Diceros bicornis minor: one gene and its partner. The protein of the gene in region 1 purifies or fractionates together with the protein of each later gene. This does not show direct contact. Links are inferred from orthologs where the notes say so. Each region holds a gene or a part of one and is shown in the gene's direction. Other genes may lie near its edges.

Evidence for each region. The genes of interacting proteins can lie anywhere in the genome.
Region 2: the proteins of LMNA (region 1) and KPNA6 purify together in Homo sapiens (affinity purification with mass spectrometry; 4 studies listed by BioGRID and IntAct, with this or other methods). This does not show direct contact. The link is inferred for Diceros bicornis minor from reciprocal best matches to the Homo sapiens genes LMNA and KPNA6.

Annotation. Positions count from the first base shown.
Region 1 is NC_080743.1:59,723,717-59,733,526, forward strand, and holds the start of LMNA (lamin), read left to right. Parts: upstream 1-5,765; 5' UTR 5,766-5,991; intron 5,992-9,810. Other genes in the region: RNA-binding protein MEX3A, read right to left, coding at 1-720, 4,369-4,822.
Region 2 is NC_080752.1:46,917,131-46,927,451, forward strand, and holds the start of KPNA6 (importin subunit alpha-7), read left to right. Parts: upstream 1-6,140; 5' UTR 6,141-6,280; coding exon 6,281-6,284; intron 6,285-6,324; exon of another isoform or gene 6,325-6,393; intron 6,394-10,321. Other genes in the region: TMEM39B (transmembrane protein 39B), read left to right, coding at 1,062-1,182, 2,663-2,905. UniProt on the Homo sapiens protein: Functions in nuclear protein import as an adapter protein for nuclear receptor KPNB1. Binds specifically and directly to substrates containing either a simple or bipartite NLS motif.

The DNA of each region.
Region 1 (9,810 bases):
AGAGCGGGGGGCTAGTCTCAGCCACACTGTAGTACACGTCCTGCTTGCCCACGCCATAGCCCGGAAACAGGTAGCCGCCGTAGCCAAAGTCCCCACCCTGCTCGCCCAGGCGCGGGGCCTCAAACCCAGAGTCCACTCCGCACTCGCCGATGCAGCCCAGGCTGTTCTGCCGGAAGGTGGAGAGGGGCTTGCAGCCCGGCGGATGCACCCGCCAGGCCTCCGAGTAGCGGCTATCGAGCGCGGCATCTGGGCTCCCCGCCAGGAAGTCGTTTTCATTGTTGTATTCGAGGATCTTGCCTGTGCGCACCGCGATGTGCGTCTCGATTTCCTCGCGCGCACGCTCCACGTTGCCCGGGGCACCCGTGATCTCGAACACCGGGTCGCGGTCGCGGCTTGGCGTGATAATGTACGTGTTGGTCTGCTGCTGGATGCGCTTGATGGTTGCCCCCTTGGGGCCCACCACCAGCCCCACTACGCGGTAGGGCACTCGCACACGAATGGTCACCTGGCCGGGCAGAGCAGGCGCCACGCCAAAGGCGGCGCCCGACTTGTTGCGGGAGGCGCGGATCATGGAGAAGTGCTCGGCTGCTGAGATGATTTCCCGTCGGGCTGTGGCTACGTCCTCCCGCCGCCCGGTCACCATGAACACTGGCTCTTCGCCTCGCACAGGCGTCTTGATGTAGGTGTTGGTCTTGGCCCTCAGAGCCTTAATCTTGCAGCCTGGGATAGGGTGGGGAGGGAGAGAGAAAAAGAAACTCACAAGGCAAGAAGGTTTGTGCTGAGACCAATAAGCTCCTGATCCTTACTCAGATACCCAGCCCCCAAGAACCCCTCAGTCTACCCTTTGAACCCCGCCGCCAATATACCCTGACTTGAACAATCCACTCATGTATCTCAGATATACCCAACGTCTCTATCAACCACAGATGTCAAAATGTACCAAAATTCCCTCGAATTCCACTCAGAGCCCTCCAAATTCATTTACTCCTTGAAGCCCAGAAATAATCACTGACCCTCCCAGACAAGCTGCTAACCTCAAATCAACTCACGAACTCCTCCCCAACCATGTGCTGTTCCTTCAATTTCTCTACTGATTCTTGGCTACTCACAAACTTCCAAATCACTTAATCACCCCTGCCAATCTGTCACTGACCATGATCTTCCCACAGAACCCCAAGGCACTCAGTGACTCCACAATCCACTCCTCACTTGACCTCCATTCACTACAAGTGTCCTCCAATCTACTCAGGGACCCCTGACCCCCATCTGCTCTGTGATCCACGCCCCCGTGCCTTCCGCCCATTAGTGTCTCTCAGTGGGTCCCAAATTCATAGCAAGTTTGCAGCAACTAGTGGAGGTGGGAGACTGGGAAGGGTCTGAGAATCAGAGTTTCAAGGGAGAAAGGAGGAGTATGAAGTTAAAGATAATGACTTGTGAGGGACAGCACCAGACCTTATGGACACTCCTGCCACCCTGTCCCCCTGGGGGCAGGAGAGCTGACATGGGCTGGGGCTGAGCAGGGCTGAGGGGGAAGGTATTCTGGACCTATACTCCTGCTTTGAAGTAGGAGTGGGTTAAAGCTGGGAGGTTGGGGAGAGAGGCAGGAAGAGAAAGAAGAAAGCCGAGACAAAGAGAAACAAAGAGAGAGAAGGGGAAAGAGAAGAGTGAGGGAGGCTGGGATGGCCATACCATCACTAAAGGTTGCAGACCTCAATGGCTGACTGGACAAGCCTCTCTCCTCTTTTCCCACATTCCCTCTCCCTGCCCCGAGCTTCACAGAGCCTCAGAGACTCACACGCTTTCTCAAAGCACACATGCCACATGTGTGTGTGTGTGTGCGCGCGCGCACACGGACCTAAGAGCTGTGAGGCACTGTGTGCCTTTACCTAAACAATACTTGTGGTGCAAGCCTAATACACACTTTCACACACCCCTTTCACACACACATACACAAACACACACGGATTCCCCGCGTTTCAACCTTTCACACTTCCCACTCTTCCATCCCCATCATCCCCAGCACACAAACAGCACATTCCTATACACGCCCACTACTTTTGCCCCCATTCACAACCAGACACGTTCACACCTCTCTCCAGGTACATACTCACCATTCCCCTTCTCACTCCCCCACCACACTACCTATCCCCCCCCAAAACCAACGCCAGTAGTCCTAGTTTTCTGACTCTGCCCCAACCCTCCAACCACAGGCCTGAGGTGAGCTCATTTTTTCCCTCTCCTTCCTCCACTCCAGATGGCTTCCTCTCCAACTCTACCAGATTTGCAGGTGGGAGGATAGAGTAGGTTGAGGGCAGCTCTCCTCACCTTCAAGAGACCTCAGGAAAGAGAATTTGCTCCCCCCTTTTTGTCTTCAGACCTCTTGGCAGTTGAGAAGTCCTACCTGTTGTCAAACCCACATCCCTGCTGCTTTACTGTCAGTAAATGATTGTTCCATTTGTGAGGCATGGAGGGTTGAGGAACAGTGAAGTCCTCTTGCCTACAACTTCTGCTCACATGGCATCTGATAGGCACCTGGGTTCTGGCACTAAGTTTTGGGTCCATAAATTTAAGTGAGAGCTAGGTGTCTTTGGGGGTTGGGGCTGGGGTGAGGAGGACAGCTCAGGCATAAGAGGAAGGAGAAAAGCTAGAGGCCCGGAGGTGCAGAACTGATGGTGGACCTCAGCCTGGGTTTCAAAACTCTGAAGAAGCATCTTTTGAAGGGAAGACTCACTGGGCTTCACCTTCCTGGAGGTCAAATAGAGGAGCACTGACACTGCAGCAGGAGGAGGGAGGTTAGACAAGAGGGAGTACTTCCATAGACTTAAGGAATGAGGGGGCGGTTTATCTTCTCTGAATAGGAGAAATCCCCCTACTTTTATGAGAGACAGGCCCATCTGATGCGGAGGCAGAAGAGGAAAGAATGACTCCATGAAATTCTGGGGCCTCCCAAGATCACCACCACATCCAAGAAAAGATATCAGTGTCCCCACCCAATTCCAGGGCTCTGGGTCCCTAGTTTCTGGCAACAAGAGGAAATCCAACTTTTTAAACCAGAAATCTCAAGAGATGGAGTGCCCCAGGGGGATGAGGGCTGTGCAGGGGAGTGGCATCTTCCCCTCCTCCATTCCGGATCTCCCTGCAAAATCCCCCCAACCCCCAGCACTCCGGGTAGATGAGGTGGGATGTGGAGTAAGGGGCCCCCTGGCTCGCCTCCCCTCTTCCCCTGCCAGCAGCCGGCCTCCTCCCTCACTCACAGCCGGAATGCAGCTCCTCTATTGTTCCCCACGGTGGGACAGCTCCTCCCCTGCTCCTCCCCCACCCAACACCTCCCCAGCCCAGCCCCCTTGCAATTGCCAAATCCCACCCCCCACACACTCCCCTTTGGGAAACCAGGAGAGGGAAGGGTCCCCAAGACCCCCTCTGCTCAGTCTGGACCCTCACCAACACTCCCACCCCCACTAGCCCAGAGATGCTGGAACGGAGGAGGGTGTGGTATCAGACATACTACACTGGATTAATTCTACACCCCCTCACCCAACAACACACCCAGACAGACACACACCCTCCACCAAACCTCCAGGGAAAGGTTTCTTACCCCCCAGCATGACCCCCCCCCACTCTGTCCTACTCTCTCAGGACCAGAGACCCCCTCTCCAGGCCTCTGGCCCCTGGCCGTGGCCAGCCCAGAACAAAAGCTTGAGAGGGAGGAGGAGAGGTCCACGCCAGGACGTGGCACTTCGTTGGAGGCACCCCTTCCAAAACCTCACAGACCGTTCAACTTTGGTGTGTGGGTGACCACAGGACTCCCTCCTCCCAGCAGCCCCCTCCCCACCTCTCCCCCTGGCTGGGACCCTCCCATGAGCCACACCCCCTTCCATTCCTACACTTAGCCCAACAAAGAGACAGATAATCTGGCTTCCCGGGCCAGGTCTCCCTCCAAGTCTGTAACTCCAGGTGGCTGAAGGTCCCAGGGGTGCCCCCTCCCCAACCCACTCTCAGATATCAGAGTAGGGGCTTCTGAGTAACTCTCTGCACATTCCACCAGTTTTTCCGGCTGGGAGTGGACACCCCCTCCGGACAGCCTCCCTGGATTGGGAGACCGATTCCCCCTCCCTTTTCCCTCTCTCTATGAGAGGATATTTCTTTGTCTAAGGGCAGAGCCCTGGGGGAGGAAAGATCTGGAGGACAGTCCCGACTGGGGGTAGCAGGGAACTTTGTGGCACTTGGAAATCAGGGTAGGGGGCGGGTCCCCCTTTGTGGGGAAGGGACCGAGCCAGAGGCAGGCAAGGAGAGAGGAAATGAACTTTCTGCGCTAGGATGGGGTGCCCCCCACTCCAGTCCCTCTCCGCGGTCCGGGCGCCCGCTTACCTTGCCTGCCCACGATCTCGGCCACGTGCTCGGAGGTGGGCACGGGTACACACTCGGTGGTGTTGCTGCTGCCCTTTAGGCGCAGCTCGGCCTCTTTGTAGAGAGCGCAGAGCTTGGCATCGCTGGTCCCTTTGGGGGCGGTGGGGGGCTGGGGCGTCTGCGCCGCGGGGGCCGCCGTCGGGGCGGCCGGGGGCGCCGCCGGCGGCGGCGGCGGGGCCGGCTGCGGGGGGGCGGCCTGCGGCGCGGGGGCGCCGCCCCCCCCACCTCCCCCGTCCTCGCCCGCCGTGGGGGCGGGGGGCTCCCCCAAACCCAGGAGGCAGAGTTGATCGAGAGCCAGCTGAAGGGCGCGCTCGTCTTCCAGCAGCCCTCGGTCCTTAGCGCTTCCCCCGAAACATCCTAGTTCTCCAAAGCCCCCATTTCTTTCCATTATTCCAGATACCACTAGACTAGGCATGGCGAAACAAAAGCTGGGGGAGAGAGAGAGAGGGAGAGAGAGAGAGGTGGTGGAAGGGAAAAGAGGAGAGAGGAGGGGAGGGGAGAGGAGAGGAGGGGGGTGTGTGGGGAGGGGGAACAAAGAACTGGGGAGGGGGGAAGAAAGCGAGATAGAAAGATAGACCCTCCCCCTAAGCCCCCCTCCCCAAACACCCTGTAACCCGACTCCCCTCGCCCCAGCCCCCAGGGTGGGGGTGGGGGGAAAGAGAAGCAAAACCCAGAAGGCAGATCTCCTCTCCTCTCCGGGGCTGACGGGGGGCGGGGGGCTGCGGGATCTCTGCCCCCACCCCTCCCGCCTCGGACCCGGGAGTCTCTAGACCCCGCCGTCCAGACGCCCCCGTTAGGCTCCCGTACCGAGCCCCAGTCCAGGAGCGGCGCTCAGTGGCCCCCAATAGAGCCCAGCCCCTTCCAGCGCTCAAACTCTTTTGTTTTAAATGAACTGGATGGAGCAGCATGGAACTGACGGGAGGGGGGCGCGCCGGGGGCGCCCGGGGCATGCCGGGAGTTGTAGTTTCCCGCTCTCGGGGGCGCAGGGACGAATTCCTTGACCCGAGGAGGATAGGGATCTGCCTTCGGTCTTTAACCACGGCTCGGAGGCAAAGCTGGGGGTGGGATGGAAGTCGAGGTCCCTAATTTTTCCAAGGCGCGGGCACGGGAGAGGAATCAGTGTACAGAAAAGGAACGGATTGAAAAAAGGCTAATGGAGCGCGCCCCTCTCCCAAGACGGGCTCTCTCCGGATCCCGGCCAGTCTTGGGTCCCTCTTTCTTATGATAATGAGGGGGGGCGAGAGGGGGGGGAGCAGTCCCGGCTGGGTCACTGCGGCTTTCTCTGTCTTTACCCTCTTCCCCCTCCCTGCTGCGCTCCCTCTCCGCTCTCCCCCTCCCGCTCTTCCAGAGTCGATCCCGGCTCGGGGCCGCGGGGAGAGGTTCTCCGCAAAGCAGACAAAGCCCGCAACCGCGATGCGGGGAGAACCCGGCTCTGCGCGCTGTGGGGACCAGAATGCGGTGCCAGGCTGGAGGGTGGGACCCCCTGGCAAAAGACGGGGTCCTCTCATCCTCAAGCGGCAAGCCATCCCCCCTCATCCCCTCCCGCCCCCCAGTCTCGGAGATCTGAGAGGCACCGACTGGGAGGTGAGTTAGTTCACGTCCTTCTGATCAGCGGAGGGGAGCTGGGAGGGCTGTGGAGTGATGAGGTGAGGAGGATGAGGGAGTGGAGGGAGAGGAGAGAAGTGGGGGGCAGAGAGCGAGGAGGCAGGGGAAGTCTTAAAGGCATGATGTGACTTAACAGTTTCGGGTGAGAGCCATAAGCTTTGAGTGCGACAGGAGGGAGGAGACACGGGATCGACTGAGGACCCAGACTTCCTTCAGGCCTGGGCCATGCATACAGCTTGGAGGTGATCTGTTCCTTAACCTCCATCATCATTCCACTTTGCCTCGCCCATGTCTCCCCCATTGGAAACCCATTAATTCAGCTTCTTTGACTCTGGAAATTGGTGAAAGTAAAAATAAGTTTTTAAGGCATGAAATGGACAGTTGGGTACTTTTAGGGGGAGTTTGGGGAAGTTGGAGTGTAATGCAATCTTTTCTTCTCCCCTTAGCCCATATCTTCAGCATTTATTTTTTGTCACCCTTTTTATGCCTGGGTCTTTCCCAAGAGGAGAAAGGATAGCACTGCAGCTTGAGGGCTTGAGATCAGACTTTAAGAAGAACTTCCCAAGAAGAGTTTTATACGAATGGGTGGGTGAGCTACAGTGGTAAGCTGTCCTTTTCTGGAGTGCCTTGGAAACCAAAAATCTGAGCTAGTTTGTGAGGTAAAGTCCTGCTTGGAGGCAGGGGAACAGATGAGATGACCTCATAGACCTGGCACTGTGAGGCCTTGAGGGCTGAACTGCGAAGCCCAGTTCCCTAAATTGATTCTTGGAAAGAAGAAATTTGCACACCAATGGGAGGGTGGGAGCCAAGGTGGAGGATCTCAGGAGGGGTTGGGGGTTGGCTCTTGCTCCTTTGCTAGGCAGAAGATCAGGGAAGGGGAGCCATGACTGAGGAACCCCAGAAGGCCCCAGAGTTGGGGAAGGGTCCCCTCTGGATCATGGATTTAACATAAGATTAACTACAAACCTTATTGTGGGATTGGGCGCTACCGCCACCAAGCAAGAGCAGGAGAGGAAGAATTGGAGAGACAAGGCCCTGTGGGAGTGGGCTGTCCCTACTCTCGTTCCCTTTCCTTCTGCCCCAGGAACCTGGATTGGGGGAACTGTGGTACTCGGGACTGTGGGGCTCTCGTTGGGGTAAGGTTCCTGCTCTGTGGACCAGGGAACTGGTTTTCACATTAATAGAAATAGCCAACAGTTGCACAGGACTGATTGTGTGCCAGGCATTTTTGTCTCCAGTTGGTCTGAGCCTTCCTGTCCCTCTAGACACCCACCCCTGAATTTGCCCTGCTTCCACTTTCCTCCCCACTAAGCTAATTAAAGCGGGAGGTTAATGACCAAAGAAGCCTTGGGGATTTGGCTGGGGAGGAAAACAAAGGACAGAAACAAGTGTGTGCGAGCGGGGAGGGGGACAGCTGCTGAGTGGGAAGGGGTAGACTGAGGGGTGGGGTGGGGAGGCTGCGGTCCCTGCTGGACCCCCCTCACTGATCCAGCAAGGACAAATCAGCCCCCTGGGTGCGTTCTTTTGCCACGTGTCCACCCTCGGTGTCCCGCTGCGACTCCAGACAGATATCCAAGGCAGGAGAGGCGAGCGGGACCTGGCACGTAGAGGGCAGGCTGTGTGTGAGCACTTAGGTCTGTGGCGTGGGCAGACACATGGGAGTGTGTGCCTGCAGATTGTGGGGGTATATCCACCACCGCCGGGACTACCAGAGCGCGAAGGTGGTGGAGGAGCCCGAGGGTGGGCACCTTGAGGAGCCGGGTTCTCAGGGGGGGTTTTGATGTGTCCTTGCCTCGCTCCCAGAGGCCAGTGGCCTCCTTTGTGGAGGTGACTTGTGTTGGCCAAGCTAGGTTTCTGTCCATGGGCCCTCCTCTTCCTCCCTCCCCCTGCCTGCTCAGTCTAGAATTAAGGCGTGAGGGCCAAACGCCTTACCTAAACAATTTTGCTTGGAAACAGACAGCTGTGCCCACTCCACCCCACCCCTCACTCTCTGCCTTATGACCACAAAGTTGTGTAGTGGCATATCTCTCCTCTTCAAGACCCTTGGAGGAGAAGACTGTGTCTCTCATCTTTGTCATTGTCCCCCACCCTGGCCTCCCAGTGCCCAGCACATGCCCCTGCCCAGAGCAGATGCTCAGTAAAGGTGTGTGGAGTGTAACTGCATGTTCGAAGCTTCAAGGTGTAAGAGGAAGGAGGAGGCCTCAGAGCCAAACATGCTGCTTCTTAGTTCTGCTCCTTGGGCAAGCATTTCCCAATGAGTCTCAGTTTCCTCATCTCTAAAATGGAAATAATAAGCCAAGTCCCTAGCGCGGTGCCTGGCTCCGCTTAGGTGTTCAGTCAGTGTTAGTTTTCCAGCTCCGGTTGTTCTCCCTTTGCAGTTGACTTTAGCTAGACTGTGGTCTTCATTAATTAATTTTCATTAATTCATTCAGCTAACCACCTCCTATTGAGTGCTTAGGATGTGCTAGGCGCTGGAGGAGATCCTGACCCACTGTGAGTCACTTGAAGTCAGTTCTAAATCTACACTTGCAGAAATAAGATCATCCAAAACAAACAGCAGATAATTCCAAAAATAATTCCTGTTGAGCACTGGAATGCAGGTGAACTCTCTCTCTCTCTCTCTCTTTCTCTCTCTCACTCTCTCTCAGACACGCGCGCGCACACACACACACCGGCCAGGCTCCTGGCCTCAGGCCTGAGGATCAGAGGACGCTGTGGAGTTTTTGAGTTGGTTGTATGTGCAGTGTGTGTCTATGTGCAAGAGTATCTGCATGTGTGTTCATGTGTGTATACACAGGCCTGGCTGCCAGGCAGGAAGGGTGACCCAGTCGAGAGTGGGGTGGCCCAGGGTTAGTGTGGAAGCTGGAGGACAGGAGTTGGGGGGTGACCCAGACAGTGCTTGTCTGTGTGTGGAGCTCTGTCCCCTCTCTCCTCCGAGCAAACCTGGGCACCTGTTATCACTGCCTATTCACCCAGAACCAAGGGATGGGGCACACACTTAACACCTGCCCCTCCTCTGCTCGGTTCTCAGAGCCCCTAGGGAGGGAGGGAGAGACAGGAGGCTGCACCAAGCCTGCCCTCCCAAGCTGGCTGGCCCTTATGAGGTTATCTCCTCCATCTCCTACTCCTCTCCAATGCCTTCTCCATCTGTCCTAGTCAGCCGAGCCTCCTCTCTCCCATGCTCTGTGAGATTTCCATTTTCTTTTCTTAATACCTCTCCCTTATGGGAAGTCCACCTTGCCACCTAAACATCATCCTTCCTGCTGAGAGGGCGGCCAGTTTTCTTTCTGTTGCTGGAATACACTCAACTCATTAATTTCAATCAATGAGAATGTATTGGGTAAAATTCTGTAGGACATACGAAGGAAATAGCAGACTTGATCTCTGCCTTCAGCAGAAACACAGAGACACAGAAACCGGCCTACATGGCCCAGAGAACATGGGCAAACAGGATTCAATGTGAGGGCAAAACAGTCTTCTGGACTGGGAGAGCTGCAGAGATTGGAGGAGAGAGGAGGTCACTATGGGTCCTTGTGGACTCGATCTCCAAGGGCTTTAAAGGCCTAGCCTGAGGTTTGGACCTGGACAGACAAACACCTCTGCTCCTCCCCTGGGACCACGCCAGCATTCCCCCTACCAGGTCCCCTGCACCGTCTGATTTCCCCAGGGAGCGCAGCTCAGAGGGGCTGGGGTGGAGCCAGGGCCCCCCAAGACAGCTGGCTGACAGGGCCCTTCTGGGACTCAGGGCCAGACCCAGGCGTCCGGGAGGCGGGTGATACCTGAGCTGTGACAGTTGGT
Region 2 (10,321 bases), on another chromosome or scaffold:
TTCAGCATATTGTCTGTGAGGTTCACCCGTGTTGTTGCATATAACACAATAACTGTTTTTAAATGAATGAATCAATAGGGCAGGAGCATGAGATTGAGCTTCTTGCAGACAGTGATTCTCAGTCCTCTGGCCCAGGACCCTTGGAGTTCCTGGGAGATCTTGCAGAACACTGGAAGAAAACTCACTGGTCCTACCACCTCATTCACATGCTCACTGGGGCTCCTCTGTGCCAAGCCTTGTGGTGTGCTCTGAGGACACAGAGATGAATTGGACACCGTCCGTTCCCTCAAGGGCTCCTAAACTAGTGAGGGATACAGGAGTATAAATAAGTGATAAAACACTGGGGAAAGTGGACCAGTAGCAGGAGATTTAAGGAGGTGTTAATGGATGCTGAACTCTGTGGGGAGTTTGAGAAAGGCTTTCTGGAGCATCCTGGATTTTCAAAGATGGCAAAGAGCTTACCAGAAGGATAAGGCATCAGGAAGGGCAGTCCAATTGGAGGGAGCGACTTATGCAGAGACATGAAGCATTAAGGTATGTTGGAGGAACTAGAAACAGTTCTGAATGGCTTGAGCATGAGGTGTGTGGTGGGAGCCATGGAAGGCCACACAGGGCCTCAGAGGCCATGCCAGATCCTTGGGGACTTGATCCTAAGAGCACTGGAAAGCCTTCAGACGGTTTTGAGCAGAGAATAGTCAGGCTCAGCTTGGTATTTTACAAAGACCACTCAGGCAGCTGTGTGGTGGACCAATTGGAGGCTAGAGATGAGAACTATTGGAGACTAGATGAAGAAAATGACCCCAGAGAGGGAAAAGGGTTTTCTTGACAGTCTCTCAGACGTTAATGTCAGCCCTAGACCTACTGACTCCCAGTGCAGTGATTTCTCATGATTCTTACCCCATTTTACAGGAGAGGCAACTGAGACCCAAAAAAGAAAAGTCACTATGTCTAAGTGATAGAAATGGGAGTAAAGCCCTGGTGGTCACCCCGTGCCTAATCTTCTGGTATCCCCTTTTGTGGGTGAGCTGGGCGTAAGGGATGCTGTTGGGCTCTGCCTCCAGGTGGACTGAAGAATGCATGTGGCCACAGGGCGTGCTGGTGAAGCACAGCAAGAACGTCTACAAAGCAGTGGGCCACTACAACGTGGCCATCCCCTCTGATGTCTCCCACTTCCGGTTCCACGTGAGTCTCCTCCCCTGGGAAGGATGGGGAGGGCCTGACTAGAGGGCAGGAGGATCAGCAGGGCAGGAAGGTGATGTCATACAAGAGAAAGCTATTTTCAGTATTTCCCAAATCCAAAGGAAGACAGTGCACACGTGCAGCACAAGGACAGCCGTATAAATGATCACTTCATAACTGCAGCTCACTTGGTAGCAAATGTTTGAAAACACTGGGTGGGGAAGACGATACAATAAAAGGAGGGGTTCTTGGTAGTGAAAATAGTAACTGTCATTCCTTCTAGTGTGCCAGGCACTGTGGTAAGTACTTCCCATGCACCCTCCCATTCAGTTGTCACAGAACCTTGTGTATGAAAAATGCCAGGGCTATCCCCATTTGCGGATACTGAAATCGGCTTAGAGAATTTAATTTGTTCAAGGGTGCCTTACTGGGAAACTTGGGAACTGATGGTAATGACTCGTGGGCTCAGCTCTGTGGAAAAGACTGTGCAAAATCATCTAGGCTAGTGATCTCCATTTTATTTATTTATTTTATTATCAAAATCTTTTTTTCCAACACAGTCATAGATTAAAGTCCAATATGTAGGACCTTATGGCACTGCTCTATTTGAAAGAGTTGGAATGCCCTTCACTTCCCACTTCCCACTGCTATAGCCCCTAAAAGACCTCCTCAGAACCTCGGGCTCTGAGGAACCTAGTTGAGGAAGCATTGATCTAGGCTGATCTCTTCACTTCACAGTAGAGAAACCTGAGGCCCAGACAGGGAAGGGACTTGCCCAAGGTCCTGTAGCCTGTCAGGTGTAGAGCTGAGCCTGGCACACTGGTCTCTTGGACTCCCATTTCCTGCCACTTCTCCTCCCATTCTGTAAGCAGCTTTTGACGTTTAGGTACCTTGACCTCTGCAGAATCAAGATCCCCTAGACGTTGATTACTCTTTTGAACTGATCAGAAAATTTTTCTTGAGTCCCTATACTCTGCCTTGCCCTGTAAACACCAAGTAAGAGTGAGGTATCACTATGTCCCCTGGAAGCTTCTGGCCTAGCTGGGGATGCTACACATGAAGTAGTGGGTGACTCATGCTGTAGAGTCTATAATAACTTTCCATGCCTATGTCATAAGATTCTAATTTGTTCAGGCCTGACAGTACCCAGGAGGATCACATGTAAAAAGGTGTTGATTTTAGACCAGAAAAAGTATGAAAGAGTGAGTAAGACCTCTCAAGAAAATCTTCCTGGAGGAGGTAGAAGTTGAAGAGGATCTTAAACAATTTATATGGGAAGCAGTAGTCTTGACAGAAGGAACAGCACAAGCAAAGGCAGAGAGGTGGCAAAGTCTGCGCCTATCACTATGAAGTCTTCTTCCCCACCCAAGTCTGCATGGGGTCCCAAGAGCTTGTCCTCTTCACTGGCCCACCCAGAACTCCCATCCAAGAAGCAGGTTTCTGGAATATACTTTCCAGTCCATGCCTACTCTTTCCTGGGCAGTTCTTTTTCAGCAAACCCTTGCGGATCCTCAACATCCTTCTGCTGCTGGAGGGTGCCGTCATTGTCTACCAGCTGTACTCCTTAATGTCCTCTGAAAAGTGGCACCAGACCATCTCACTGGCGCTCATCCTCTTCAGCAACTACTATGCCTTCTTCAAGCTGCTGCGGGACCGCCTGGTATTGGGCAAGGCCTACTCGTACTCGGCCAGCCCCCAGAGGGACCTGGACCACCGGTTCTCCTGAGCCCCAGGGCAACCCCAGGGACAGCATCCAGGCTTCAGCCAGGGGCTCCCTGGGAAGGGGCTGTTGGGGAGGGATGGGTGAGGGGCAAAAACAAAAAAAGACAAAAAAATCCACCAGAGCTTTGTATTTTTGTTACATACTGTTTCTTTCTTTGATAATTGATGTGATTATGAGGAAAACAAAAGTCCTATTTTTATACTCCCAATAAGCCTGTGTCCTGTATTTCTTTCCCTTCTTGCCTGTCAGGCAGAAAGCAGATGTGTGGGATTCTGGGTGGGGAAGCCCCGCTGTGGCTCCTGGGGCCCCTGTGGGCTCTGCCTTCTCCAGTGGAAAGGAGATGAGTAGGCACCAGAGGTCATGGTAGCAGTGACAGCTGCTGCTAGCTGAGTGCTCACTGTGTACCGTGCTGCTCTATGTGTATTATAGGCCTTGTCTTAATCCAACTTTCATGATAATCCTAGGAGGTAGGTGCTGTCACTTCTCTTAAAGATGAAGAACGAGCTCAGAGAGCTGTAATGACTTGCCCAAGGTAACACAGCTAGGAGGTAGAGCTGGGCCCCAAAACCTTCTGAAAGGTGACATATTAACCTAGCAGAATGTGATGTCCTGATTCTCTCAGCATGCAGTCACTGAGACCCTGCTCTCTGCTAGGTGCTGTGGTACATGGTGAGGATGCCAAGACACAGAAACAAGTCATACTACACTGGGATGGGTGTAACAGTTACAGGGGAGGGAATGGTTAATGCTCTGTGGACTTCCTGGAGGAGGGGTAGTCTGAGTTGTATCAGCCACTTCCCAGGTGGACAAGAGGGAGACTTGGCAGAGTCTACACTTAAGCAGAGAAAAGCGTACGAGTAATAGCACAGAGATTTGGAACATCGTAATGTATTGGGGGAAGGGAAGCAGAATGTGGTTCCTAGAGCAGAAAGGATAAGGAAAGTGAGGTGGGGGTGGGTTGGAGCTAGAAAGGTCTGCAGGGACTGGATCAGGGAGGACCAATGGCTCTAGGCTAGGGAGAGTGAGTGAGCAAGGCCAAGTGCTAGAGTGGAAATACAAAGCTGCTTGGAGGGCCACCTGGCTCTTAGGGGGCATAGGATGGAGAGCTCAGGAGTAAGAGAAGAGGAGACACAGACAGTCATAGCCACTTGTCTAGTCTGCCCGTGTTCCCCGAGCCCTATTGGCCACAGGATATGCAGATAAGTCCACGGTGGTGTATTAGAGACAGACACTGCAACCAGCGTTTTTGATGCCTCTGTTGAGGAAGGCATTGTGCCAGGTGCTGGCACAGATACAAAGATGAGGAAGATTCTATCCCTTCCATAGACAACCAGCAGAGAGAGACATTGTCATGAGCAAATTAGGGTGCTAAGTGCTGAGGAAAACATGTGTCCAGGGCACTGAGGAGCAGAGAGGACAGACACCCTGACTCTGGAAAGACAGGCTTTTTCAAGGAGGTGAGAGTTGAGTCTTGAAAGTGAGTAGGTCACACCATGGTCAAGAGGAAAGAGAGGGCATTGCATTTCAAGCAGAGGGAACAGCATGTGCAAAGGCACAAGAGAAGATAGGGACATATTTGGGGAAAAGTGGTTCCCCAAATATGGATGGAGCCTGGGTTGCCTGGTGGGGAGCAGCCTAAGAAGCCAGTAAGGACCAGCCCGTGTGTCAGATTGAAATGTTTGTGCATTACCTAAGGGCAGATAGTAGGAAGTTGCTGAGCAAAGGAGTGACATGAAAAGGTCTCTGATTTTAAGGAGATAGTGGGTGCGGGTGGGAGAGCTTGGAGGCAGGAGACCAGTGAGGAGGCAGGCAAAATAGACCAGGAGAGAAAGAAGAGGTCTGACCTTGAGCAGTGGCAGTAGGAATGATACCAAACCAAGTGGGCTCGCCTCCTGGTGAGTTAAATAAGACTCTACACCAGTGGAAGTTGTCTCACAAAGTAAAGTGTATTTGCAACAAATACTAGGCCATGAGGAATCATTTCCCAAGTTGTGGTGTCCCCGAACAAAGGGAAGCAGGAACTTTTATTTCGGTTGGGGAATGAATATTCAAAAGGGAGAGGTGGGTTATGCACTGCAGATTATGGTAATGAGGCTTAATCTCCGCTTGCAGAGATCGCATTAAAAATCAGGCAAGGTCATGGGCATAGCTCTTGTAAAGAGGCTTGGTTGCTTCAGAGTGGTTGCTGGTTTTGTCTCCTTAACATAAAAACACAACTTGGAAAAACAGTTAAATGCTTCCAAACCCACCCTTGAGTTCCTTGGGGCACTAGTCAGTGACAGGAAGAGAAAGGTAGTGCTCCCTTTCCTGACCATGAGTTCTAGAGTGGGGTTTTTGAGTTGTTTCCCTAAATGAGCCCACCAGGCACACAACTAGAGTTGGCAATTTGTTGTGACAGGACCTGGAAGCCCACATTGCTCTTTCTGCTTCCAAAAGGCATCTCCCTCTGGGACCAGTGACTTGAAGACATAGGCTTCCTCTGTGTGTTGAGGTGGAGGACAGGAGGACGGGCATGTCACTATGCAAAAAGGGAGGCCTACTATGTACCAGCCATAAATTCCATGATTCAAAAGGCACATGAACACTCAGAGCCTCAATTTCCTCATCTCTAAAAAGGGAGATCATATCCCTTGCTTTGTGTAACTTACAGGCTGTTCATTTGTTTATTCATTCAACAATTATTTATGGAGCACATACCATGTGCCAGATACTGTGCTAGGTGCTGGAGATACAGTGATGAACAACACAGGACCCACCCTTGCCTTCAGAGAGCTTACTGTAAGGACAAATGAAATAGCTCTGTTGACTATAAAGCACTGCACCTGTCTCATTCTTTTTCTACTTCTTATCTCCCAATAGGGTTGTAATCGGGTTTACTCTTGACTTCATTTCCCTACCTCTATATCCTTGAGCAAGTCACTTCCCCTCTCCAGATGATTCCTTTTTCATATCCAGCTCAAGGGTCTATGATTGGCTTTAATTACGAAAGGAAGGAATATCTTTCTGGGAGAAAAAGTTTCTAGGGGAGGAAATCTCACTATAAAGAGGAAATAGTAGCAGAAAAACCTGGGAACTCCCAGGCACGCTGAACTTTCTTTAGTAGGCATCCCTCCCAGTCTCTCTCCGCCCACTCCTTTCATATTCCGCCCCTATTCCCCGCCTTTAATAGCTGCGGTCTCTTTAAGTGTGCGCCTTGGTGTGAACTAGGCTGCAGGGCTGAAAGCGCGTTTCTTCGCTGGACTGAATATTGAGTTGTTTGTCCGTTTCGGGCTGCCGTCCTGCAGATCCGCCATATTGTCTGCTGAAGCTGCAGCTGAAGCTCGCCGCTCCCGTCGCCGCCGCCGCCGCCGCCGCCAAGTAGGAGCGAGCGGAGCCGCGATGGGTGAGTAAGGAAACCAGGCGATTGGGGACTCGAGCTGAGGCAGTCTCGGGGTTAGGGGTCTGGCGAGAGCCTGTCTCCGGTCTGCAGAGGATATCCGAGGCCCTTTCAAGTAGGTTTGAGGGGAGAAGCCAGGCCGGGAGTGCCGCTCAGGCCAGTTTGGGGCCGGGCTAGGGCCCATGCGGAGATCAGTCTTCGGGGGCTGGTTCTGGGGACACCTTGTCAAGCCTGGAGCCCCCACGTGGTGGCTCTAGGCCGGAGCCTACGCGTTCCCGGAGGCTAGAAAGGTGCCGACCCTCCGGCCTGCGCCGAGACTGGGGCTGGGGGACGGGCTCCCGGCGGCAGGCCCAGCCGGTGCTAAGGGAGCTCTCTCCAGGCGTGTGTTTGACCGACGCGCATCTTGACTGGATTCGGTGACTCCCCTGAACTCAGGGAAATGTTGCCTACGTCGCGGGTTGAGTCCTCCGTTGAGGAGACGCCAGGCGAGCCAACTCCAGGCCCGTAACCAGGGGCAGCCATGCCAAAGGCAGCCTGGGCCGTTCAAGGCCGGGAGAAGTTCCCGAGCCGAGGCGGAAATGGGGTGGTTCGGTTGGTCTCAGAGTGGACAGCCTTCGTAGTGGTAGAAAACCAAAGGCCGAGACTTCGTGGCCATATATAGGTCGGGGACTTCGGTTTCTGCGCCCGGCCCTGGTTAGGAGAAAAGGAGCGACCTGTTGCTCGTTCTGAAGGGACTCCAGCTGGCAAGGCCTGTGCTTAGAATACGATGGCCAAGTTTTTGGACTTAGGGACAGAACTGTCAGTGGTATTTCCTCTCCAGCAATAAAAACTATTAAATTTGCTAAGCTCTTCCTATGTGCAGGCATTGTTCTGACTGCTTTACATGTCACGTTTCACTTAAAGTGCACAGCCTAATGAGATACATACTACTGTTACCCCTATTTTACAGATGGGAAAACTGAGCCTTAGAGAGGCAAAGTAACTTACCCAAGGTCACACAGTGGCTAAACCAGAGTGATCACTCCAGAACCCTAGTTTATAGCTGCTGTTCTTTATGGCCTGGCCCCCTGGTGGTTGGGGTGGAAGAGGGGGGAAGAAAGCTTTTAACCCTAGGGAAAGTTGTAAAGGTGGTTTGCTGTGTTGTTTTTTTTGCTGGTGGGCCGACTTTGAAATCTTTAGTCTGAAGGAAACTGAAAAAACTCCAAAGTGAATTGCTAACCCCAGCTACTGCGTGGGGCGGGGGGGGGGGGGCGGCTAAATGAGATTCTAGGATTGAGTTTTGTAAGATTCCTGATTCTGAGGAAAGAAAAATTATTCCCTTGAGCTGCAATGCAGTGACTTCAGAATCAGATCTGGTATTTTAATCCTGCCTGCCACTTCCTAGCTCTCATCCAGAGAAGTCACTTAAATGTCAAATGCAGTAATGCATAAGGAAAGCATCTAGCACAGTCCACAATAAATGTTATGTTCCTTCCTTTCTGAGCCTTCCTTTCCTCATCTCTAGAAAGAGGGGAGGGGGCAGTGTTATCAAGGTGTTTGAGAACTAAATAACATAACACAAGCGTTTGGAGTCTAGTAAGGGCTCTATAAATATCAGAACAGATTCCTTTCCACCCTCAATGTTAGTTCCTTTCCCTTAAGCACTCTGGTTTCCAGAATCCTCCATTAAGACTGATAGGCCTGTCTTTATAACTGCAGCTTTATGTATCAATGAAAAATTTTAGGGGTTTTTATGTTATAGATTTTTGTGTTGGCCTTCAATTTCAGAAACCCTGGTGTCTCAAAGGGAAGTGGCTAATGTTTAGTTTATTAAGCTCAGTGAAATAAATTTGGTAGTGGTTTACTCAATTTTTATAGACTGGGGAACTACCTGAGAGAAGATAACACAGCTAGTAATCAGCAAAGCCAGAAGTGAGATTCTTACCCATTTTGCTGCCCGTAAACCTCTTACAAGACATAAGGTGTGAAGTAAAGTTAGTCCTTTTTTAGTAGACTTGGAAATGAAAGTTCTTCACTGGAGCAGCAAAATCTGACCAGAGGCCCGAAGGAGATTTTTAGTCTAGAGTCAGGCAGCCTCTCCTTTTCTCTCCAACTCCATTTCAGGTACCTCTCACCTGTGCCACTTTGTCTTTTTGAACATCCAGCTATTGGTGTGTGTTTGGAGTTTTTTGTTTTTGGCTGATTCTTATACCATGGGAGTGAAACTAGTGTAAGGATACATTTAATCCTGACGTCAAATCTGAGATAGTTTGGGTTATCCTCATTTATAAATGAGTAAACTGAGGCTTTCAGAAGATTAGGTGACTAGTCCAAGGCTGGTGATCTAAGCCCTTTGAGTGCTGGGGACACTAACAGGGCCTGCGTCACATTTCCATGAATCTAGAACCTGCTGTATTTCACTGCCTCTCAGGTATACTCTCCTTGAGCTCTGGCCTATATCCTATACTATTTCTCACTAGCCTTAAGAGACCTTTGTAGTGATTTCACTGCCATTAGGAGCCCTGTAGGCTTCATGCAGCTCTGGAAGTTACTTATTCTGACCCTTCCTATCAGAGACCACAGCCTCTCAAGACTAAGTCTTGGCAGATGCTGGTTGTTTTATCACCATTTCTGCCGTGTTGCTTCCCAGGAATCTGGCATCCCCTCCCCAGCCTCAGAGGGTGGGTCTTGATTAATATAAACTCTAAACCAGTCATTGTAATTCTATCTCCCTAGGCAGTGATTGCTTTAGGCATGGGCATGTGACGCAGTTCTGGCTAATTAGATGTGGAGAAAAGCCTAGGGGACTTCTGGAAAAGCCTTCCTCATTTCAAAGAGATTTGCCTGGTTTTATTATTTTTTGCCAGCTTATATTTTAACCCACGTATCACCAAAGTGTGAGAGCCTCAAAAAAAGACAGAGAGATGGGAAAGCTATAATGATAGCCAACACTTATATAGAACTCGCTATATGCTAGACACTAAGTTCTATAATATTAACTCATTTAATTCTCAGATTCTCATGTTCTACTTGAGGAAACTGAAGCACAGAGAGGTTTAGTAACTTTTGCAAGGAAAAGAGCTAGTAGAAGAACCACTTACTCAAGTAGTATGGTTCTAACCAAAATAGGGGCTATTAAGGTCTATATTCTGCCTCTGGAAAGGAAAGAGCCCTTTTCTGACTCTGAAATTGCCATTAGCAATGCTGGGATCATGAGGCAGAATTTATAATAATAAATAAGAGTAGGCAATTCTAAGGATGAGGATAGAAAAGATGGAAAAAATCTGATATCTTCATGATGTTTTTGAGCCACTGAACTAGCCAACTTGGGAACTGTCTTATCTCTGGGCTTAAATAGGATACCGAAGGCCCCTTCTAGGTTGCTTTTAGCTGCAAGTAACAAAACCTTTCTAACTGATAACGCTTCCAGGTCAGGAAGTAACTTAGCCCATCTCTTCTCTTAGTTTCCCTCCAGTCTTGCCCACCCACTCCACAGTTCATAACAGTTACTTGCAGAGAAGGCACTAAACCATCAATCACCACCTTAATGTCCCACAAGCATTGAACTCACTCCCTATGCCTGGACTTCTTTTCCTGCTTTTTTGTTGATGCTGGGATTATTGGCCCAGACACTAGAGCATAAGATAGAAACCATATCCATCTTTGGTTCCTTGCTCTTTTCTTCCCTTTCTATATAGCAATTATTGGATACTCTATGATCCTATTACTGAGGTCTTCCCTAAATTGCTTTGTGTAGGTTTCTCTCACAGCGTAGTCCCGCAAAGAATATTAATTCTGTGGTCTTTAACCTTGCTGAGTCTCAGGCTCCTCAGAGTGAAAATATGGATAATACTATATATTAATGTTGTTAGTGAAGAGTCAGTGAAGTACTAGATACAAAAAAATATCGTAGGTGCCGGCCCAGTGGCACAGCGGTTAAGTGTGCGCACTCCACTTTGGCGGCCCAGGGTTCGTAGGTTTGGATCCTGGGTGCGCACTGACACACCGTTTGTCAAGCCATGCTGTGATGGTGTCCCATATAAACTAGAGGAAGATGGGCACAG